Rattus norvegicus: one gene and its partners. The protein of the gene in region 1 purifies or fractionates together with the protein of each later gene. This does not show direct contact. Links are inferred from orthologs where the notes say so. Each region holds a gene or a part of one and is shown in the gene's direction. Other genes may lie near its edges.

The links.
Region 2: the proteins of Golga7 (region 1) and Zdhhc5 purify together in Homo sapiens (co-immunoprecipitation; 3 studies listed by BioGRID and IntAct, with this or other methods). This does not show direct contact. The link is inferred for Rattus norvegicus from reciprocal best matches to the Homo sapiens genes GOLGA7 and ZDHHC5.
Region 3: the proteins of Golga7 (region 1) and Cldnd1 purify together in Homo sapiens (affinity purification with mass spectrometry; 3 studies listed by BioGRID and IntAct, counting the BioPlex papers as one, with this or other methods). This does not show direct contact. The link is inferred for Rattus norvegicus from reciprocal best matches to the Homo sapiens genes GOLGA7 and CLDND1.

What each region holds. Positions count from the first base shown.
Region 1 is NC_086034.1:75,468,685-75,472,856, forward strand, and holds the start of Golga7 (golgin subfamily A member 7), read left to right. Parts: upstream 1-1,224; 5' UTR 1,225-1,441; coding exon 1,442-1,552; intron 1,553-4,172. UniProt on the Homo sapiens protein: May be involved in protein transport from Golgi to cell surface. The ZDHHC9-GOLGA7 complex is a palmitoyltransferase specific for HRAS and NRAS.
Region 2 is NC_086021.1:90,181,809-90,184,889, reverse strand, and holds part of Zdhhc5 (palmitoyltransferase ZDHHC5), read left to right. Parts: intron 1-979; coding exon 980-1,071; intron 1,072-1,577; coding exon 1,578-1,710; intron 1,711-2,034; coding exon 2,035-2,158; intron 2,159-3,081. UniProt on the Homo sapiens protein: Palmitoyltransferase that catalyzes the addition of palmitate onto various protein substrates such as CTNND2, CD36, GSDMD, NLRP3, NOD1, NOD2, STAT3 and S1PR1 thus plays a role in various biological processes including cell adhesion, inflammation, fatty acid uptake, bacterial sensing or cardiac functions.
Region 3 is NC_086029.1:55,355,643-55,360,042, reverse strand, and holds the start of Cldnd1 (claudin domain-containing protein 1), read left to right. Parts: upstream 1-1,562; intron 1,563-2,106; exon of another isoform or gene 2,107-2,142; intron 2,143-2,647; coding exon of another isoform or gene 2,648-2,698; intron 2,699-2,919; coding exon of another isoform or gene 2,920-2,937; coding exon 2,938-3,229; intron 3,230-4,400. UniProt on the Homo sapiens protein: Plays a role in negatively regulating the permeability of cells to small molecules.

The sequences.
Region 1 (4,172 bases):
CAAATGAAATTACAAATGGCACAACAGAGGAATCTCAAAATAATCTATATAATAAGAACGAGACCAAAAACTCTGATTCAATTTAAGGAAAATGCAAATTTATTTCCAGTGACAGAAAGGTTAGTGCTGGGCAAAGAGGTCTGCTGAATGACTAAAAAGGATGACTGTAAAGAATAAGGAAGGTTTTAGAGGCAGTGATAATTATCTTGATTGCACTGATGGTTTAAGGGCAAACTGTTAGCAAACTGTGTCCACATTAAGTGACTGGGTTTACGATACACCCTTTTCTGGGACAAAGTTATCCACTTTTGAGACAGGGTCTCACTATGTCAACCCGGCTGGCCTGGAACTATTTAAGTAAACTGGGGTGGCCTTGAACTCAGAGATCACCAGGGAGTGGGCCAGCCTCTACCCAACCCCGATGCTGGGATTTTTAAATGCTATTTTTAAAACCCCGAGAAATCAATTGTCAGTGATAATTGATCAAGTATCCGTGATATTAAAAAGTTGTATTAGAACATCACCACCAGGCGTGGATAGGGATTTTCTGGATGTCTTGCAAAGACAGGGTCAGTAAAGTAGGGAACCAATGAGAGAACTGTAGATACAGTCTGGTCACCTACGCAGGTATAGCTGATGTACATACGTCTCTGGGATGAAAAAAGCCAACGGCTCAGAACAAGAATATTATTCACCTCCCTCCCGCACAAGAGGGTACCAGGGTCCAGACGCACCCCCGGTAGCGCGCTTTGTAGTTGTAAATATAGGTGAACAGTCTGGGTTTAAGGGATTTGGAGAGTGGCGATTGTTTTTGTGGAGGGAGGTGCTGTAGCCCACAGGAAAACTTGAACGCATAGTCAAGAAAGGAAACACTCCTATGATCAGAAACCACTTCCCCACAGCTAACAGAATACGAGTCTCTAACCCCGGAGTCTTTCCAGGAACTCCCGATACACCGATCATATCCATATCCACCTCTTATTCTTCTTCCGCCCGGAAGGGCTTCACCCGCCTACACTAGGAAGACTTCTGTCCCAGCTACCGCGCACCTCTCCGCAGCGCGCAGCCTCGGAGGTATCCTTTACGGCCGGAGGGGGCGGGGTATAAATGAGTGGCGCAGAATGAGTTTAGGAGAGGCAAGGCTTTTTGCGACAGGACGTAAGTGACGACGAACGTGGTGCGACAGCTGCTGGAGGGCTGAGGAGGCGGGTTTGTGTTAACAGGGCCGAACCAGGATGTCGGGGGGCGCGGGTCCTGGGCTTGGGTAGCTGGAGGCTCTCAGCTACAGCCATGAGTGAAGGGGATCGGCGAGGGGGAGGTCTTGGGCATCTTTGGGCGGTGGGTGGCTCCGAAGGGCAGGCGGGCCCGAGAGCCGGCTCTAGGCCGGCAATCTGACCTGTGTCTTGCCCGAACTCGCAGAGCGGCGGGTCCTGTCCTCGCCATGAGGCCGCAGCAGGCGCCGGTGTCCGGGAAGGTCTTCATTCAGCGAGACTACAGCAGTGGCACCCGCTGCCAGTTCCAGACCAAGTTCCCCGCGGAGCTGGAGAACAGGGTACGCAGCCTGGATCCCTGCCCCCGCCCCTGGGGAGTGTAGAGTCCCTGGAGCGGGAGGGAGTGTCCCACAGTTCTGGAGATCAGGAGGCCTTCAGATCCATAGCAGAAGGTCTACGAAGAAGTTACGGTCTAGTATTTAGAGAAAGACTGCTAAGGCTAGTAATGCTCAGAGTGCAGTGGTCTTATAGAACTTTGGGATGCACGCTACCCCTCAGTCCACCCAAGAGTGTCCTTAACAGGACACCGACACATAAACGTACACACACTCAAACATACAGACACGGTTATTGACACCTTATTGAGGTGCACACACATACTCAGTTATTGACATCTTGATGAGGTGCTAATTCCTGGAACTCCGGGCTGCCTCATAACCTCCTGTGGTAGTCTATATCCTCAAAAGACAGCGTCATCGTTCTCATGACTGATATTTGTGGTCACTGTGCTGATCATGATGTTCAGCTGAAAGGGTTTATTAGTGACGTGCTTGGTAGTCCAGACAGGCCTTCTTGGAACCTGAAAAACGTACATTGGCTGGGACAGGTTGTAGCTGAACCAACCCTGCACTCAGTCATAATCAGTGAGAGCTTCCTGTTTGCCTTGCATATCAAAACGGTCACGGGCACAGGTCCTTTGGACAACCTTGTAAACAAAGACGGGATTTGTTTACCATTCCTTCGGATTTAACAACACCAGAAATCTACCTGTGTGCGTGTGTTCTTGTGTGTTCTTGTGTGTTCTTGTGCGTTCTTGTGCCTAGCCCGTGTGATTCTTTTGTTCTTTGGCCGTATTAGTCAGATTCTGTTTGCTGTTCATAAGTCAGTTTCTAGAAACTGAGCCAGGAGGATGAGGAACTTTGAGGTAATTAAGCGTGGTGTGGGTGTGGGGCTAAGAAATGCTGGTTGTGGAGTAGGTGGGTGGAGATGAGTGTGTACCAGAGAAATGTGTACCAGCCATTTAAAATCAGATTGGTGGTTCGTAGGCTGGGTGTGTAGCTTAACGCAAAGAGCCTGTTCTTTCCAGGTTGAAGGCCCAGGGATCTATCCCCAGCATTAAATATTTAGTCAGGACTACTCCCAGCTACTAGGGAGTCGAAGGCAGGAAGATTGAATGTTCAAGGCCAACCTAGGCAACTTGAAAATGCCATGCTCTAAAGTGGCTTGGGAAGGGTGGGAATCCTGAACCTTATTTCAGTGGTAGACCACTTGTCCACCGCTTCCATTCCCAGCACTGACTGTTAGGGCTGAAAAATCACTGATTCATTACCTTGCCCTTAAGTTTGATTTATGCCATAGGCAAGTTAATGGCACAGTTGCCTTTCTCGAACTGCCAATTAAAGATCCAAGAAGCTTTGAAAAGATACTGTGTAAATAGTGTGTGGTTGTGGACACTTGTAATCTGGAACCCGAGGGCCAGAGGGAGGAGGATTCTGAGTTGTAAGCCAGTGTGAACTGCATAGCAAGACCGTTGTCTCTGGGGCTGCAGAGATGACTCAGGGGTTAGGAGCACTGGCTGCTCTCCCAGAGGTCCTGAGTTCAAGTCCCAGCAACCACATGGTAGCTCACAACCGTCTGTAATGGGATCCGATGCCCTCTTGCCTCAGGGAGAGTGAGGAGGGAGAGGATAGCAGGTTTTGGTTGCCTTGTTTGTGACTCGTCATTTAAAGGCCTCTAATGGTTTATAAGTCAGAGTTCTTTGTTGAGCCAGTACACATATATGCGACATCAGGCATTAGCCTTTCATCCTGTGTGGTAGAACCTTTCCTTAATAATCTTAGCTTAAGAAAACCAGATGTAGTCACACAGACCTTTACAGGAAATTGATGTTGCTAAATTCTGCCATCCAAAAGTGGTACTTCATTGACTTGATAAACCGCAGAATTGCTTGTGGTACTGACCACTGTGTGGCATGTGCCTTTGACTATTTTAGTGTCGAGTTAAACACTTGCTGTAAACCACTTGGAAAAGCTTTATGTGTGTGTGTGTTGATTATACATTTAAGTTTCCTTGATTTTGTGTGATGAAGTTGAAAGGCCTCTTTATTTCTCTGCTAACCTAGAAAGACTGGTGATTGTGCTGGCCTGCTGGTAGGCCTGGCTTTCATTCTGAGGGAATATCACACTCGCCAGTGTGCTAGAGAAAGGAACTAATGCACAAGTGTCTCATGTTACATTATACTTAAAAATCCTTGCGAGCTGTTTGAGAGCCCCGAATTCTGTCAGCTGAGCAGTCACTCCCCTGCCTGTTACAGTGTGATGCTTCGATGCCTGAGAGCCCAGCTGCCTCAGTAGTTCTTCAGGTGAACCTGTGTTGTCCTTTTAGCCAACATGTAAGTGTTGTAGTCACCCTTGGTGGTCTTCTGAGAAGAGAAACTACAAATGGACGGCAGTAGACACACATTCTACTTATCTGGTCAGCAGAAGTAACCTTTGACTTGGCGTTGCACTTGCGATCACTGTGGGCTTCAGCAGTGTGCATTTCAACAACAAGACTTCTATCTAAAGACCTTTGGAAAGCTGATGACTGTCTTACTGTGCTTAGACATAGCAGATGTTAAAAACTCCTGAATTTGTTCTTTGGAGCTTAAGTCCAGTTGTGTCACTTGATAACACTGAAATA
Region 2 (3,081 bases), on another chromosome or scaffold:
AACTGGCAGGAGACTAAACATGACATGTCTTAGGTCCTTACTTAATAACATTAATACTTTCCCAAACAGAATGCTAGCGAATACTTAGTGTGATGGTGTAGAGATTAACAGTAGTGGGGAAAGTGAAGGAGGCCTAGGTCCTCAATAAGTAGAATTAAAGCTTGGAATGGTAGTGCAGACCTAGAATCTTACTTAGGAGGCTGAGGCAATAGGATCGATCTACCTGGACCCTGTCTTCAAGAAAGGAAGACAGTAACCTTAAAAAATGGTCTTGTTCTAATTCTCTTAACAAATATTTAGTCTGTGAATTTATAGAAACGAGTTGGGACAGATTTTAGGAAATACATAGTACTGCTTAAAGATTATTTTTGTGCACATAATAGTAGCTAACCATAATTGCTTAGTCTTATCTTGCAGTCAGCCTATCTGTGGATTCTTTAGGTTCAATCAAATAGAGATGGTATAGACTTGGAGGGAAAATCACTGAATATATACATCCTTTTTCTTAGCATTGTTATGTAAATAATACAATAATTCTTTATATAACATACTGTATTAGGTATCGATGATGGAGAGATGAGTTAGTGTACATAGGCTATTTGCAGTTACTGTACCCATTATATAAGGGAACTCATCTGTGGATTTTTGGATTATTTTAAGTCAATATTCAGAAAAGTACTTAGTTGGGGTTGGGGATTTGGCTCAGTGGTAGAGCGCTTACCTAGGAAGCGCAAGGTCCTGGGTTCAAGGTCCTGGGTTCGGTCCCCAGCCCCCCCCCCGGGGGGGGGAGGTACTTAGTTAACCCCATTTTATACAGAAAACTGATATGAGGATTGGCTTCCATGAGGTAGACTTAGAACCCTCATTCTAGAATCTGTTCTTAATCATCACCAGCATCAATTTTTTACCTGAAAGAATGGCTACACAATAATTTGCCTTTTGGCATAGTCTGACCTACCTGGTTCTTTCTGCCTCCTAGGTTACAGGAAAATTCCGGGGAGGTGTGAATCCCTTTACCAATGGCTGTTGTAACAATGTTAGCCGTGTCCTCTGCAGTTCTCCAGCACCCAGGTACACCTACATACACCCTTGGACTAGTGTTCATTCTTGGTCAAACTTTTGTCTCCTTTGGGCTTGTTCTGAATAAGGGAATTTTAATGGAAAATGGCCTTTTAGGGTGGGTTTGCTTTCAGAATGGTGAGCGCTACAAGGAAGAGGCATGCTGATCTTTTAGTGAATTCTTGAGTTCAGTTGATAGTGTTTAGGTATGGCTAATTGCATTTGAGAACTGAGGATGTATACAATTTACCTGCAGAGTGCTAGATACCTGCCTGTAAAGGCCTACTCAAGCTGAAGGTTTTCATTGAATTAAATCAGGCTAGGACTAACTTTTACTCTGATAGACTCTGATAGGACTGGTTTTTGGCTGAAGATTAAACTGGGGTCTTGTTCTTTATCACTGAGCCATATACCTCAGCTCATGACTTATTGTGTATGCACCGTGCTTCCTAGATGGTGTGCAAGTAGAAATTTTGAATGAAGTAGTAAGTGAAAGCCTTCTCACTTTTGCTACCCAGGTATTTGGGGAGACCAAAGAAAGAGAAGACAATTGTAATCAGACCCCCTTTCCTTCGACCAGAAGTGTCAGATGGGCAGATAACTGTGAAGATCATGGATAATGGCATCCAGGGAGAACTGAGGAGGACTAAGGTGAGAAATTAGGAAAGTAAAGCTAGGGAAACCCAGGGAATTTCACGCTCTGGCAAAGAGATAGGAACCTGCACTGAGTGTACATCTTGGTGTTAAAGTCACTTAAACACAGATATTTTCTTCATTACATTTCAAGTTCCATGACAGTAGACACTGAGCCACTTTCCATGTCTTCATAAGATGTAACATCTTTCAGATGACAGACGCTCAGCTTTTTTTTGTCCTTTATTATCCCCAAACTGACTCTTGTCCCAGTATTTACACTATGCCGACTTAATATTACCTTAATGTAGTTTCCCTCTCTGATTTCCCTCCATTTATTAGTCTAAGGGAAGCCTAGAGATAACAGAGAGCCAGTCTGCGGATGCGGAACCTCCACCTCCTCCTAAGCCAGACCTGAGCCGATACACAGGGCTTCGAACACACCTCAGCCTGGCTACTAATGAGGGTAAGGAAATGAGCAAGGGCTGGGAGGTAATAGTTGACTTATGGCTGAGAACACCCAGTGGATGATACTTGAGCAGTTTTCTTTGAATAGCTAGAAAAGGGGGATGCCAGTTAGCAAGAGATAGTGATTGGGACTTCACAGAGAATTACTTTTTACAATCTTATGTTGTATATGTGGGTGGTGCTGAGTGGGTAGATCAAAGGACAACTCCAGGAATCGGTTCTTTCCTTCCACTGTGGATTCTGGGAATTGAACTTGGGTCTGTAGGCTTTTATGGCTTGTTGCTTTTTTATCTTTTGAGAGTCTGCCTGAATCAGAGTTTCTCTTAGTATGTTTGATGCATTTGCCCACCACAGATTATGAAACTAGTATAGATGTTTGCTCTTTAAACAAGCAAACAAACGCAAGCCTTTAGTGGGTGGGTCACCAGGGGGCAGAGACAGATGGACTTCTTAGTTCAAGGCCAGCCTGGTCTACAAGGTTTCAGGACAGAGAGGGCCACACAGAGAAACTCTCTCTGGAAAAACAAAATGAAACAAAGAAACAAGGACTATGTAGACCAGGTTGTTATTGAACTCAGAGGACTTTGCTTGCTTCTGCCTTCTGAGTGCTGGGATTAAAGATGTGTTCTATCTACCACCACTGACCTTATCATTGTTTTTTAATTTTTATTGTATGTTATGTATATGGATGTTTGGCTTGCATGTGTATATCTGCTCAGCATTTATCCTCCTGCTTCAGCCTTCTGAGTAGCAGAGACTGTAGGCTTGTGTCTAAGCACCAGGCCCAGCAGAGTCTTCAGGCACTGTAGCAAAATCTTGTTCCCTAGGCTTTGCTTTTATTAGGTATACATGATTCTACCATGTCCGTTCCCTGTACTTTCAGAAACCCCAAAAAGTTTAAAGAATTAACTTTATTAAAAG
Region 3 (4,400 bases), on another chromosome or scaffold:
AACTTTTCCTTTTCATCTGGGACAATCAGGAGTTTTATAAAGCTACTTATACTGATCTTACTCAAACACTATTCTATTGTAAATAATGCCTCAATGATTCCTTAACAATCCTCAGGTCCCTGCCTGACAGTTTTTACATCTTCTTATTTATAGATGCTATTTTAAAAAATCCATATATTGAAAACAAGTAATTGTCCAATGTCATAAAACTGGTGTTCACATTTGCCAAGTTAGCTCATCTCCATGGGCCTAAGTGTCTAGAAACTTAGGCTGTTTCTTTTTTTTTTCTTAAATTGTTCCCCTTTTCGAGCATTGGTTGCCCATGTTACTTCAGGAATCAGACGTGTCATGCAGGTCCGTGGATGAAGACATTTGCTGCAAAAATGTATTCACAAGTCTTACTGTGGAGTCACTGTTCTCCTGTGCACGACCATCAAGCTTTCAAGATGACACCTGAGGCCAATTGCTTTTTTCATTTGATGTTATAAAGAAAAATCTAGTCATGCCATGTGGATAGTGGGCTCTGTCAGAAGTCCATTTCCAGACAGAGTCTGTGATGGTGAGCTAGAATCATGAACCAAAAGGCAAATGATTTATAGCTAAAAACATCTTTGCCACTTGTTTAGAAATTCCTGTGAAGTATCTGAGGGTTTAGAATCATTCAATTACTTCCACGTCGCACAGCCGTCTGTTTCCAAGGCTGCCCACAACTTTTTCTGTTGGAAATAATGTTCTCTAAATTCCATTTCATATTACACTCACACTTTAAAGTCACATTTTTGACATCTAGTACCCTTTGGATTTACAAGTTTTAAATAAACCAACGGAAACATTTAAACTGGAAACTTTATTACAGTAGAGAGAGCAAATAACAGATTTCTTCAAACAAGAATAACGTAATTATATCCTATTAGGTTATAACGCTAATTTAGTTATATGCTGGGTTAGATCTTTAGTTACATTTAAACAAAACAGAAGTACACTTTGCTCAAATGGGAGGGAAGATATAGGGAAGTGGGAGTGGGGGTTGATATTTGAAGAGTAGAGTCAACTCTACTCTTAAATAAAGTTCATCGACTCAGTAGAACTAATATTTAGAGGTAGAGTATTATCGTAGGGAAAACACAAGACTCTAAGTTAGATCTGGGCTACATAAATCAAAGCCTTTGACTATAGATGCCAAAGATCCTCCCCCATCACTTTCTGGAGCTTGGTCCCTCCTTTTCTGAGGTTTAACAATCCCTCAGCTTAGACCTCTGCTTTGCTCACTGATCTCCAGAGTTCTTTCTTCGGAGAGAACTACATTCCCCACAATTCCCCGCGCGTCGTCGGGCATGCTCTCCTCTGGCTCTAGCAGCTTTTTCACCGGCGTTCCTACAAGTCCCACAAGGCCCCTCGGCTCAGGGCCGCTTTGGCCCGGCCTAGGGTGGAGGCGGAGGCGGAGGCGCGGGAGTTATGGAGGGGGCGGGCTCTGCAGGGAAGTGCGTCAGAGGAGGCGCGGGGAGAGTAGGTTGCTGTGGTCGGAGCTGGAGGGCGAAGCCGGTGGAGTGAGAGGATGGGCGGTGAGTGCGCGGGGTCGCGAGCCAGCACGGGTCGCGGCGTGGGGAGGGGGCTCCTCCGTGGCGTGGCCGGGCCGGGAGGCTGGAGCGGCTGGCGGGGCGGGGAGGGGCGGGGCTGCGGGCCAAGGGGCTGGGGCTGGCTGGGCTCGGGTACCCAGGGCACCCGCCCAGCCCTGCCGGCCTCAGCCTGCCGGTGCCAGGCCCTGCTGTGCGGCCCAGGGTGACTGCGCTAGGCGCAGCTTCCAGAACCCGGCCTTTAAGGTCATCCGAGAGCACCAGGATGGACGAGATTTTTAAGAATCAAAATGCACACCGCACTTACCTGAGTTATTGTTGATGACTGCAATCGCCCCGGTGTTTCCGGAGTCACTCCCCATTTTCCGAACTCTGCACCCAGTTTGTAAGCCTGTTTTCAGGTGCATTGCGAGGGGTTTGTGCTGTCACAGTGTACACACACTTGGTAGGGTTTGACTCAGCGTGATCCACCTTGAGTCATTTTAACCGCGGCCATTTACTACTGCCGTGGAGCCCTGTCCACGCCTAGGGAGTGTTCAGATTTTGCCTAACTCACTTCTGTTTGAGAGTAGGGATTATTTCGTTTTTATGGACCTGTGCTATACTTTTAGGATTTAGGGAGCAGTATTGCGGTTTGGGAGGTCGAGAAGTGTGTAATGGATGGAGGGTGGGGGGAGAGTAAGGAGTGAAGAATCTGGTTATGTCAAGAAGCTTGGCTTAGCTTTGATCGAGGGAGATTGATAACCTAACATGGTGCTTTTGCTCTCTTTGCTGTGACAGACACATAAACTTTCCCCTTTGGGTTAACACCTTCAACTCTGACTTCCAAATAACTCCTTACTTTTGGCCTTATTTATTTATTTAGGTAAACCTTTCCACTAAAAAGCTTGGGGGATCCCTAGTCTCCCTTTCTTCTGTCTTTTCCTCGTCCAAGCCGGAAACACATAACCTTTTTCTGGCTTTCGTAAAAATTCAATCTACAGTTCAGGTGCGCACGCTGCACTGCCGACCCCGGGCGTGTGTGTTGTTTGTATCTGTAACGTGTATGTCCATTTCAGTGTTGTCTGTTTTAGTATGCAGGTGATAGACTAGAGAACAAGACTTCTGTCTCCGTAGCATCGTGGGTATGTGAGCATTCAATAAGTACTTTCCCTGAGAATGAGTTTTGTTTTAAACTTAACATTTGCCCTTTTGTTTGTAAATTTTCACATCGATAAATGCCTTGCATTGAGAAGAGAAGGGATGGGGAGTAGGGTAAAGGGGGCTCATTTTTATTATTATTTTTGTTTTTAATACATTCTAATTTGCTCGGGAGGTCTAACTCTTCCCTCTCCCTCTTGAACAGAGCAGTCTGAATGCCAGAATGGATAACCGTTTCGCTACAGCCTTTGTGATTGCCTGTGTGCTTAGTCTTATCTCCACCATCTACATGGCCGCCTCCATAGGCACAGACTTCTGGTATGAGTATCAAAGTCCTGCTCAAGAGAATTCTAGTGATGCGAATAGAATTGCCTGGGAAGATTTCATGGGCGATGAGGCGGATGAGAAGACCTACAACGATGCTCTGTTCCGGTACAACGGCAACTTGGGATTGTGGAGACGCTGTATCACCATTCCCAAAAACACTCACTGGTATGCTCCGCCGGAAAGGACAGGTATTCATGTCTCCTACCTGATAACGATTGTCCAGGGACGGGTAAGCACGTCTGTGCACCGCTTCCTTCCCTTAAGAACATCCTCTGTATCTATTTTCTTCCATCATTTTCTTTCCTCAACTTCTGTGCATTCCCGTTGTCCTCCATGATATCACAATACCTCATATCATTGTATCATGATGGCCATTTGAATCCTCATGCTTTCATTAAATTGTTTTTTTCTTTTTTATTCATGCCACATGTTGTGAGGAATTAGTTTGAAGAGTTTAAATATCTGGTAATTTGTGGCATTTACGATCAAGTTAAAGTGTGAGTGTATTATCCTCTTACAAGTAGCTATGTTAGCCAGGCAGCAGTGGCATAAGCCTTTAAGCTCAGCAGTTCGAAGGCAGAGGCAGGCAGATCTCTCTGAGTCGAGGCCAGCCTGGTCTATAGAGCAAGATCCAGGATAGCCAGGGCTACACAGAGAAGCCCTGTCTCTCTGATACAGCAAACAAAACCAAAAACAATTAACCTAGGTAACGGTAGGTTTCCATCATTTGCCTTGTATTTTAGAGAATGTAATTTGACCAACTCTGCCTTTAAGTCTGTACATATCTGAGATTTGCACAACTATAAAGGGTTAATAACCTAAAAAAATTACAAAAAAAATTTCTAAGTTGTTTCTCAGATTTATTTTTCAAAAACTATTAACATAAAGATTTTAACTTTCCAGGTATTAAATTGGGAAGCTTACAGTTTATTTTTGTTTATATTTACTTCTTTTGGCCTCTTACTGAGTAAGCATTATATTCAGATCATAGCAGAACACACTTAAGTCACCATCTGTTGAAAGGTATACCACGTATGACAAATAGTTTACCGTGCAAAGAAAAGGAGCACAGCTACCAGTGTATTGTAAAATCTCCAGTTCTACTTAGAGGTCACAGAGGCACACTGGGAAGGCTGCAGTGGGACACATCCTGCAGCGTGTTACGTTTTGAACACCTAGTGACACTGAGCGCAGGTGAGCCGACCTTGTCACCCTGGCTGATGTCCACACACAGGCAGAATGCAAGGCTGTCATCTGGGATTGCTTACGAGGTGGCTGTGACTCAGATGTGAGATCACTGGAATCAGACCAGCATAGCAGCGGGATTTTGAGTATAATTTGAAGGAATAGCTGTTAGCA